3 linked regions of the Rattus norvegicus genome follow. The protein of the gene in region 3 interacts with the protein of the main gene of each other region in a pairwise test. Links are inferred from orthologs where the notes say so. Each region holds a gene or a part of one and is shown on either strand. Other genes may lie near its edges. The genes, in order: Foxm1, Sp2 and Banp.

What was found.
Region 1: the proteins of Banp (region 3) and Foxm1 interact in binary tests that used the Homo sapiens proteins (3 or more experiments, as listed by UniProt). The link is inferred for Rattus norvegicus from reciprocal best matches to the Homo sapiens genes BANP and FOXM1.
Region 2: the proteins of Banp (region 3) and Sp2 interact in binary tests that used the Homo sapiens proteins (3 or more experiments, as listed by UniProt). The two-hybrid records come from large-scale screens. The link is inferred for Rattus norvegicus from reciprocal best matches to the Homo sapiens genes BANP and SP2.

Annotation. Positions count from the first base shown.
Region 1 is NC_086022.1:163,324,235-163,327,980, forward strand, and holds the start of Foxm1 (forkhead box protein M1), read left to right. Parts: upstream 1-1,393; 5' UTR 1,394-1,555; intron 1,556-3,596; 5' UTR 3,597-3,640; coding exon 3,641-3,746. UniProt on the Homo sapiens protein: Transcription factor regulating the expression of cell cycle genes essential for DNA replication and mitosis. Plays a role in the control of cell proliferation. Also plays a role in DNA break repair, participating in the DNA damage checkpoint response.
Region 2 is NC_086028.1:82,444,540-82,448,185, forward strand, and holds part of Sp2 (transcription factor Sp2), read right to left. Parts: exon of another isoform or gene 2,770-3,646; intron 2,659-2,769; coding exon 2,582-2,658; intron 1,183-2,581; coding exon 211-1,182; intron 172-210; exon of another isoform or gene 32-171; intron 1-31. UniProt on the Homo sapiens protein: Binds to GC box promoters elements and selectively activates mRNA synthesis from genes that contain functional recognition sites.
Region 3 is NC_086037.1:66,985,922-66,989,567, reverse strand, and holds part of Banp (protein BANP), read right to left. Parts: intron 544-3,646; coding exon 400-543; intron 1-399. UniProt on the Homo sapiens protein: Controls V(D)J recombination during T-cell development by repressing T-cell receptor (TCR) beta enhancer function. Binds to scaffold/matrix attachment region beta (S/MARbeta), an ATC-rich DNA sequence located upstream of the TCR beta enhancer.

The sequences.
Region 1 (3,746 bases), on a different chromosome or scaffold from region 3:
ACAAAATCTAAGTCAGGTTTTGCACAATCTTGGCCTTTTTTTTTTTTTTTTAATTTTGAGATAGAGTCTTACTATGTAGCCTTGGCTAGCCTGGGGCTGGCTATGAATACCTGGCTGGCCTGGAATTCACAGAGATCCGCCTGCTTCTGCCTCCTGGGTGCTGGGATTAAAGGCGTGAGCCACCACATTCTGGTGTCAGTGAAAACCCACCAGCCTCTAACCTGTTCACCTCTCAAACACAGTCTTTATCTGCTCCCCATCTCATAGCATACCACGCCCCCTAAGTCTTAGTTCAAATCCCTGTGACCTTCAGCCTTTGTGTTCACCAGCCTAGCCTCCTCCAGTCAAAACATCTCCCTTCTTTTTTTTTTTTTTTTTGGTCTTTTTTTCGGAGCTGGGGACCGAACCCAGGGCCTTGTGCTTCCTAGGCAAGCGCTCTACCACTGAGCTAAATCCCCAGCCCCAAACATCTCCCTTCTTAATCTAGCTGCTTCAATGTTTCCTTCCCTTCTGTGTAATGGGTGACAGATCTTACACCTTGTTCTCAGCTCATAAGGAAGGAAGGAAGGAAGGAAGGAAGGAAGGAAGGAAGGAAGGAAGGAAGGAAGGAAGGAAGGAAAAAGAGAGGAAGAAAGAAAGGAAAAAGAAAGGCTTTCCTGCCCTAAGTCAAGATTTTCTCGTTAAAATAAATACTCAAATTTATCACTGGCGGCTGCGGGAGGGCGAGCCAGTGACCCGGGCTACTCCGAAGGCGGAAACACGAGAATCGAGAATTCTACACATGGGGATACCCGGGGTCAGACAAAACCCACCGGCCTCTAACCTGTTCCTCTGTAGCTAGAATTCTACCGATCTGTTCATCTCATTCTGGGCTCCCTCTCCATCAGACCACCGGTGAGCCCAGGGGAAGGACGGCCCGGTCTGCCACTGTACCTTCCACTCTTTCGTAAAGTATGGAAAAAAGATCGTCCGGACACCTCGGGGCTGGGCCCGAGGTGGAGGCGGCCACAGACAGGGGCGGGGCGTAGGGCACTTAACCGCAAGTCTGGGGACAGAAACCCAAGCTGGACCCCACGCAGCAACGAGGGCTGAGCCGCGCGGTGGATCCAGAGGTAGCCCAGTGGGTAGCTAACCGGGGGAGTGGCGTACGCTGCCCCGGAAGGAAGTCGACCACGGAGGCAGGGCGGTCCGGGGCGGGGCGGAGCAGGCTGCTGGCCGCGGTCCGCGCGTCCCCGCGTCCCTCCCGCCGTCCCTCGAGCTCCGGGGCCCCCTTACCCGCCCTCCCGGCCGCGGCCGCCGCTCCTCAGGACGCCGAGCGTTCGGGGCCGGAACCCGGAGACAAGCCGGTGCCGATTGGCGACGCTCCGTCACGTGACCGCAACGCTCCGCCGGCGCCAATTTCAAACAGCGGAACAACTGAAAGCGGCGCTGCGGGACCCACCCCCGGCCCGGGCTCACCCCCCACCCCGCCCCGGGTTCCCACCCCGGCCGTCCCGCCGGGACCCGCCCGCCCTGGCCTGGCTCGGCCCCGCGTGGAGCAGCGGTGGCCTGTGAGGTGAGTGGGGTGCGACCCGGTCCGGGGAGGGCTTGGAGTCGGGACTGCCGGGGCTGTGGGGCGCGAGGGGGTGTTGAGGACCGCCAGGAAGAAAGTCTGAGCCGCCGGCCTCGGCTTTCCCGCCGCGTTCTCCGAGCACCCCGGGACCCTGGGAACAGGCCTGCCCTCTGAGTCTGCACTTGCAGTCAACCCTGCCTCCGCCTCCACAGCTGCAGGGTGGGATCCTAGCTGAGCGTTGCAAGGTTCCCGGTTCTGTGTGGAGAATGGGGTCTTTGGGGATGGCTCTGCAAGTCGCCTTGCGCTAGAAGATTTTGGGAGTGTTAGGAAAAGGCTGGTCAAAGAGAGAGGTACCCTATGGTGGGGGGTGTCTACCATTTGATTGGGGTGGGTGCAGTGTGAAGCAAAACGAGAACTGAGATTTGAAGGTCGAGAGAACGAAGTATAAAGGAGAGAAAGCTACAGGGAGGAAGGGACCTAAGAAGGCTAAGCAGCTGGCAAATGTCAAAAAAGTGTAATTACTTTTTGGAAGGTTTCCTAAAGTGCCGGCTGTTTCTCCCTTTCTCGCAGGATTGCAAAATGGAGTGGCAGGATTTAATTTAATGATAAATTATTCTATCTATCTATAAAAACCTATGAAATGCTTTTTCTAAAGACTTCCTTCCTTAGCATTTCAAAGTGACTTTAGCATAGCCAGGCATAGTGGTGAATGCCTGTAATCTCAGCACCTAGAAAATTGGGGGCCAAAGGCTCAGTGGTTCAAAACCAGCCTGGGCTACATGAGACGCTATCTCAAAAATTAAAGCCACCTTAAGCATATTAATGATAGCACATTTTGGTATGGAGAAGATCTGTATTACAGTCTTTAGAAGCAGAAAAATCAAGTATTATACTTATAAAACTAAAATATAGTTACTCTCAAGTACCAAAATGTCACTGTGCAAATGCTTTGCAGATTTTGAAAGAAAGAATGGGACTGGAGAGATGGCTCAGTGGTTATTGACAACTATTGAAAAAAATTATTTTTAATTCAAGAGGATTGGAGTTTTTAATTGTAGTGTGCTTACCAAGCATTCACAAAGCTCCAGGTTCAATTCCTACCACTACCTAAACCTGGCATTGTAGCCACACCTGTGATTCTGGCAGGTGGAGGCAGGAGAATCAGACGTGTAGGTCAGCTGCATTATTTGAGACGGAAAGAAAAGGGCACTAGGACTATGGCTTGGGTAGAGTCTTTCATTCGTCCCTACAGTCATCGAGAGTGACCTGCATTCTAGTGGACAGTGGCTGGTATTTCCACATTCTTGTAGATGTGTATTCCTCTGGCCAAACATTCAAAAAGAGGTTTTTGCATTTTTACTGGGGCGGGGGTTGGGGAGGAGGGTTGCCCACATGCCACAGCACATGTATGGAGGTTGGAGGGTAACAGTCAGGAGCTGATTCTCTCTTCCCACCATCGTGGTCCTGGGGACTGAATGCAGGTGGCCAGGCTTAGCAGCTGATGGTTTCGGTCATTGAGCCATCTTGCCAGCCTCCCCTCCCTCCCAAATCTTTCTAGTTTGTTTGCCTTTTTGTAGTACTGGGAACTGAACTTAGGGCCTTGCTAAGCAAGCACTCTATTACTAAGCTACATTCTCAGCCTGGCCAAACATTCTTAAGCTTACAGGGGACCATGCACTTCAGTGCAGTCCCATGTTCCCATCTTGAAGTGTTTGCTGCAGTTTTCAGCTTTCCTTGGTCAGTGATAGGGCTTTATTTGTTTGTTCTTGTTTGCTCGTTTGTTTTTGAGACAGGGTCTCATGTGGCCCATGCTGACCTTGAATTCACTCTCTGGCTAAGGGTGACCTTAAACCTTCTAGGTGCTGGGATCACAAGTGTGCATCAAACCTAGCTTCTGTCCTTATTGTCTGAGGGTTGGACAAAGGTCCAGGCAGGATTCCCCTGGGCCTTTGAGCTTCTGCTTCTGTCTGTTCATGCAGAGGAACACTTCCAGTTTGTCTCAGCCCAGCAGATCTGATAGCAAGCTTCTCCTTGCCCTCTGCAGGGTCAAAGCTTGTGATTCTCGATGGAGAGTGAAAGCACAGCTTCATGATGAGAACCAGCCCCCGGCGGCCACTGATTCTCAAGAGACGGAGGCTGCCCCTTCCTATTCAAAATGCCCCGAGTGAAACCTCAGAGGAAGAAGCAAAGAGAT
Region 2 (3,646 bases), on a different chromosome or scaffold from region 3:
CAGTTTTCCCTGTTCCATCTGCTTTCTACAGAGGGAACTATGTCTACTTGGCCTAAGACCTGAAGAGATCTCAGGGCAGAAGCCATTTCCTGCCACCCCAAATGATGGTGACTCCAGCTTCCCATCAGATCTGCTGCTGATCTGCCTCTGTTTCAAAAGCAAGCCAAAGGGGTGAGCAGAGAGGGAGGGAAGGGAGAGGGGCTGTGGTACCTGGGTTGGTGTTGGTTCAGTTGTCTGGATCTGAAAGTTCTGGGAGGGCTTCTGGGGAACGGTGGGGAGGGTGGCAGAGGCAGCCTGCACCACCCGCAGTGCCTGCTGGGGGATCTGGACCACCTGTTGCTGCTCGGCCTTGGGTGGCACCACCTGGACTTGCTGGACCACAGCGGGCTGGCCCCCACCAGGGCTCTGGACGATCAGCAGGTTGTTTCCTGCCTGGATGATGTTCTCTGCTGTGGTCTCGATCAGTACCGTCTCCACCTGTTCAGCCACAGCTACTGAGGGCTGTGACACAGGAAGGCTCTTCTTCCTAGCTTTTTTGTTAGTCTTAGACAGTGGGGTCGGGGGGCTCTCAGTGAGGAGCTGAGCAGGGGCCCCAATATCGCTGGTGTTCACCAGGTTGTTGAGTGGCAGGGTGAGCGTCATGTTGCCACCCCCACCTGTCAGTTTCACCACGTTGGCCCCGCTCTGCACAGGGGTGGTGGTCGTATTTGATTTCTGGACAGGAGCTGGCTTGATGGGGACAGGCTTATGACCGGATGTTGACGGGGTGATGATGGCTTGGTTGGTGCCTGGGATGATCTGGATCTGGTTGGTGAGATTGGGCTGCACCTGGATGGTCTGGGAACTGTTCCCTTGAATCTGAGGGACTTGGTACTGGATACTTGCATTTGATCGGCTCCCTTTGTTGATCAGAGTGGGGTTCTGGATCGCAAACACAAACTGCCCTCCAGGGTAGGAGGCGCTCAGCTGGGAGCCCTGAATCTGAAGTATATTTCCTTTAGATGACAAGATGCTAAAGCTATTCTTGCAGGGACTGAGAGGGAGAGGGGCGGGTTTGATAGGGACCAGTTTCCTTGGGGTAGGTTGGGGGGGAGCAGGAGGTGTCACTGCAGCTTCAACAGCTGGGGGGCCAATTTTGCTACATGTTGCAGCAAGCAGAGCCAAGGGAGACGGCTGGGAGTCCTGCAAAAATCAGCAGAAGTAAGGAGTGAGATGAGTCCACTAGCTAGATTTGTCATCCTCTCTTCTCAGCAGCTCCCCAACCCTATGAGTTCTTCCCCACCCCTGTGGCAAACTAACACGCATGCACACACACACACACACACACACACACACGCACGCACGCAGTAGCCCTGGACATGACAGACCAACAGCATAGGCTGTTCTCCCACAGGCCTTGCTGGCCCAGTGTTGGCAGGGATAGGTACACACCCAGGCATCAGATGTCTACCAACTCAGCACAGGGAGGGAGAGCATATGAACTCGCTCTCGTAAGGGGTTTCTGGTTGTGTTCTGGAGTGTGTTGAATCCACGTATGTGTGTGAAGGACATAGGTATATCTGAGTCAGTGTGTGTGGAGGCCAGAGCCTAAGGTTAAATTCTTTTTTTCTTTTTCTTTTTTTTTTTTTTTTTGGTCTTTTTTTCGGAGCTGGGGACCGAACCCAGGGCCTTGTGCTTCCTAGGCAAGCGCTCTACCACTGAGCTAAATCCCCAGCCCCTTCTTTCTTTTTTTTTAAATCTCCCAGTTTATTGAGTCATTCTTTTTTTTCCTTTTTTTTCTTTTTGTAATTTATTATATATAAGTACACTGTAGCTATCTTCAGACACACCAGAAGAGAGCATTAGATCTCATTACAGATGGTTGTGAGCCACCATGTGGTTGCTGGGATTTGAACTCAGGACCTTTGGAGGAGCACTCAGTGCTCTTAACCACTGAGCCATCTCTCCAGTCCCTAAGGTTAAATTCTTACTCTATGACTCTACCCTGTTTGCGAAATTGTTTATTTATGTATTTGGGTGTTTTGCCTACGTGTGTGTCTATGTATCACTCAAGTACTTGTACTTGATGCTCTCAGAGGCCAGAGAGGGCATCAGATCACTTGATAATGGAGTCTGAGTTGCCATATCAAACCCGGTCCTCTGGAAAAGCAGCCAGTGCTCTTAAGCCACTGAGCGTCTCTCCATCTCCCTTACTTTAATTTTTGAGGCAGGGTCTCCTACTGAATCTTAAACTTACTGACTGGGCAAGACTAGTTGACCAGTGCACCTCAGTGGCGGCTCTGTGTCTGCCTCTCTGGTGCTAGGATTACAGGTGTGTACTACCAAGCCCAGCTCAGCTTTGACATGGGTACTTGGGCTTGAACTCAGGTACTCATCAATGTGCAGCAAAGACTCTATTAACAGCCGTGGCCCCGGCCACCAGGGGCCAAGTCTAACACTGCTCATTTTGCCTGATTAGTTCAGAAATGAGAATAAGCAAATCTCCCTGGGTGTCTGCAGGACAGGTCTGAGTGAGCTAGAAAACCCACTTCAGTAACCCACCCAGGCTCTGGCCCTGCCTCAGAGCCCACTGTGCACTTGCCTGGGTAGCAGCGGCAGCAGGCTGCAGGTAGTCACTGGGACTGACAGCAGCAGTGGCGGCCATGCTCATCTGTGAATCTGTCGGGAGAAAGATGGAGCGATATAAAAACAAACACCTGAAGAGAAACCAAGGCCCCTTGCCTCAGCTTTTTTTTTTTTTTTTTGCCTCTGTTGCTGCTTTTCCAACAGGTTAACAGCATTTCCTGCAAGGCCCTGGGCTTTCTAGCATCTAGCATCACAGCCCGGGGTTTGTCTGGGTGACTTCTGCTTTGCTTACACTCATCCATTCAGGCCAGGCCTGCCTTCTCACATTGTCCCCACAAGTGTCTAAGACTGGGAAAACTGGGAGACTCCTGTGTCAGGACTGGCTGTGGTGAGTCCAGAGTGCCCCCTGGTGGACACTGGTAGCCCTCTGATTCTGAATCTCCTCCTGGGGCAGAGCCTCTAGCCAAGTCTTGTGCTAAGGCTACCAGCTCAATCCAGCTGAAGCTAAAAGCAAACTAGTCTGGGAGTGAGGAAAGGCTAGGCCAGCATTCCTGAGCAGCAGGACACTCCTGTCCTATTCTAAAGGCTGTCTGCACAACCTTCACACCCAGACACAAGGGCCCCTAGGAACCAGTAGATGGCAAATCCTTTAAGTCGGCAGTTCTCAACCTATGGGCCAGGACCCATTTGGCAAGCCTCTCTCTCCAAAAGTATTTACGTTGCACTTCGTGACAGTAGCAACGTAAAGGCTGTGGAGTGGCAGACAAAAATAATTTAATGTCCAGGGATTCCCACAACATGAGGACTGTATTAAAGGGTCACAGCGTCAGGAAGGTGAGAAGCACTGCTTTAGGTGGATTTACACCTTTACACAGAACAACTGATATGATACGAACTGATATGTAGGTCACAGACTACACAGCCAACAACTACACACAAGAATGAACAGTGAGGGCTGGAGGGATGGCTCAGTGGTTAGAGCACTGACTGCTCTCCCAGAGGTCCTGAGTTCAAATCCCAGACACCACATGGTAGCTCACACCTATCTGTCATGGGATCTGATGCCCTCTTCTGGTGTGTC
Region 3 (3,646 bases):
AAAATCCTGACCAGCCTACGGCCAAAGCCTGGTTCTCGGGTTCAGGGGAGCAGCAACCTCTGTGAGAGCCTGCACTGCGGACTGCACCAGGCTTGGACCACACAGAGGAAGGGGAGCTGCCAGTGCCAGCAAGGTGTGCAGAGGAGGAGGGAGACTTCACATGGTACAGAACCGGACTGTTGAGTCTTCTGCTCCTACCACGGTCACCTGCCCTTGCCGGGCCGAGATCAGAGGAGCCCACACATTCTGACTTTAGGAGTTCAGAGTGAACAGAAGCTCCATGCCTCTGCCAGACCTGTATGCTTCTCGACAAGGGTTCCTAGTTCTAGGAATGTCAGTCACAGTCCAAGTTCAGTATCTACCAGGGAGGCTGGTGGGACTGAGAGGGACAGGACTCACCTGCGTTGCAGCCGTGTGGTCACTCACGGGCGCCAGCTGGACATACTGAACCTGAATGTCACTGCCCTGGAGAGGCGACCCATCTACTCCTGTAGCTGCAGGGTCTGAAGAGGCCACGGCTATGAGCTGAGCACCCTGCAGTACCTGGGGTTGGGGACAAAGCCAGGTTGGTCAGTGGAGCTTGGGTCAGCAGACCCCTATCCTCTTCTGGTTCAGAAGCAATAAGAGGCCCAGGCCCACAGCATGGATGTGAATGCAATGGAGCCTCAGTGCCCACTGCAGACACACCCACCTGACGTGCTGAGTTTTGACTGTCATGAAATCTGCCACATTCACACTTAGTCTTGCAGAAACACCCTTGTTACACACAGACATTAGTCTTTTAAAGCCCGTGTGGAAACCAATAAGCTAGAACTTGAAGACTGCACAGGCACACTGAAGACAGCGGGAGAGCTTAACAAACCCCGCACAGAGCCCATGTGGAGCCAATAACTTTAGATAGAGAAACAAAAGGAGAGGGAGGGCTGCAGTAGGTGTACTGCTTGTGTGCCAGCATGAGGACTTGCGCCTGGATCTTCGGTATCCACACACAAATCAGGAGCAGCTGGGTAACCCCAACCAGGAAGACTGCTGGAGGTGGATCACGGCCAGCCTAGCCAAACAGTGAGCTGCAGGTTCAGTGAGAAACCCTCAGGAAAAATAAGGTGAAGAGAGATGAGGACACCATCCACAAACACGTGCGCGCACACACACACGCACGCACGCACTCGGACACACACACACACGCACTCGGACACACGCACACAAAGAAGAAAGAAGGGAAGAGCTACTGTGGCAGGGACAGTGAGGGGCAAACAGGCTCCAAGGGGAGGGTGTGAGCAGAGACACCAGGGGCAGGTCACTACAGAACAGATCCTTCAGTCCTCTTTGCTGCATCCCTCCATCGTCCTGACCCTGCCTGACAGTGACCCTGCCTCAGAATGGATGTGGAGTAGGAGGAATAAGCTTGGGTGACTCCAGCTCTGGAAATCCATCCCACTGATTCACTTCCCACAAACTCCACCTGCTGCTCACACGACCGGGCAGGAGGCTCGAGGCAGGCAATACAGAGCCTCCATCTGCGCACTCACAGGTGCCCTTCAATCAGCCTTGGGTACTGCCCTAGGTGGGAAGGCCAGGGCGCCCAGACGTGCAACCCCAACAGTGGACAGAACCCCAGCAGTGGACAGAACTGCTGGGTAGGAAGCACATTTGGCATGGAGAGGACCACGTGAGGTTCCCCACAACCAGAGACAGCAGTACAAACTCACCCAGACAACTTCTAAGAAGAGCTGTACTTGTAAACAGCTAGCTTGACTGTCAGATGACATGTGCCCTTTTAAAGGACACACTGTAAATAAGGACAGTGTCTCTTATGCTAATGAGGGTCTGCCAAACCAAAATAGACCCAGGTTCACAGGCACTGGGAAAATATTTTTAATGACTTTAAAGTCCTTTTTAATATTTTTGAATAACTAAAAAAAAGTGAGACAACTATTTGGGGATGTGACTGCCGACTCATGCTGGATTCTAATAAGGAGAACTCCCAGCATTCCTCTGGGAAGCAGTCTATCTACCTCCTTCCTGGGGAGTGCAGTGGCTTCTGGGTCAATCTCACTTCCAGTGTGATTCCCCTCATCTATGGAGGCCTGACAGCCAAGAGACAACAGCAACAATAACAGCCTGTCTCTGCACAACTCTGGCCCTCAAGACACACCTCTCGAGCTGCTTATGGCTGCTCTTCTCTATGTCAACATGTGGGGATAGGAGGAAAGTTTCCTGGGCCTCACAGGAACCACACATTGGTCAGCTACCCCATGGGCCATGGTGATAGGCAGTGGGATGTTCAAAAACAGGGGAGCCAGTCCTCAGCCCTCTCTAGGTGCTCAATCCAGGTTAACTAAAGGAAGAAGGGTGTGCAGACACACATCTGGGAACTGGTTTCCAGGCAAGCTCAGAACTCAACATAAACACTTGCCTGCTGCTTCTATCCCAGATACCTCAGCGTCCCCTATTCCACACCCACTCTGGCACAGCTACTGCACAATGCCACTGGCCACTCCCTCCCTCTGCAGAGGAAAGCAGGGCAACAGATGCTGAGTTGCCCACAGCTGGCTGACAATAATGACTCCTTGTTTAGATAAAGCATGGCTCCTTCCAGCAGGAAAAGCCTGAAACAGGGTAAAATGATCCAATCTTATAAGCATCAGTGACAGAAGCCTCTAGATTCCTCCTTCACTCACTCTGACTTGCAGGCAAGTTCGTTATTTTTGCTAAGAACTACATTTCTCCAGGCATGGTGCTCTCCCTCATCTGACCAAGCAGTTCAACTTGAAACAAAACGGGGGATTTTACAGTCAGGAGACGGTAAACCGAGCTCCTGCTTGGGGACAGCCCTTGGTGGCAGACTTGGATGGAGCCCGGCTCTTCCAGACTCTCCATTGTATATGCTGGCCTGGGCCTTTCCTGGGTAGCCAGCGCAGCTTGGGACCTCTCCTCCCCTGCATTGCTCACCCAGCAGTCTTCCTGGTCTCCCTACTCAGCAGCTCCTGTGGATCTTAGTGGGTCCCATGGGCTCCTATGATAACCCTACAGGCTACCAAAGCCATCTCTAAGGACCAGTGAACACTTCCCTCCAGCACCTGAGTCACAGGAGCTTCCTGGTCTCACTGCCAGAACTTGGGCTCAAGCAGACAGGACAGTATCTATGGCCCACTGGTGCCTGTCTCCCCTGACCTACCCAGGGCCATCCACCAGGGTAACCCAGGTAGAGGCAAAGGGGGGCTCTCCACACGTTCCTTGAACAGCAGAATCAGCAGGCTTCAGAAGGAAGGAAAGGATACAAACACTAGAACTGCTCCAACGGCAGAATGACCCTGTGTCCAAGAGTGAAAGGCTCCATGGGGTAAGGGCTCTGAGCTCAACAGATGGGCCTGACTTGATGGCCATTCATCAAGCCATATGTCTTCATATGCCATCAACTGTTACAAGTATGCCTATACATGTCTTCAGACACCTGTGGTCATAGATGTGCACATGCACACATCTGTAAGTAAGGCACATGCCTGTTCACAGACACCTTATCAGCTCTGCTAACCCCTACCATGCACCTCTACTATGATGTCTCTGGCTGGCAAAGCAAGCTCTTAGCCTCAGGCCTCTGTAGGTATCCAGCATTGACAGTGGCAGTTACTGTGGCAGCCTCTGT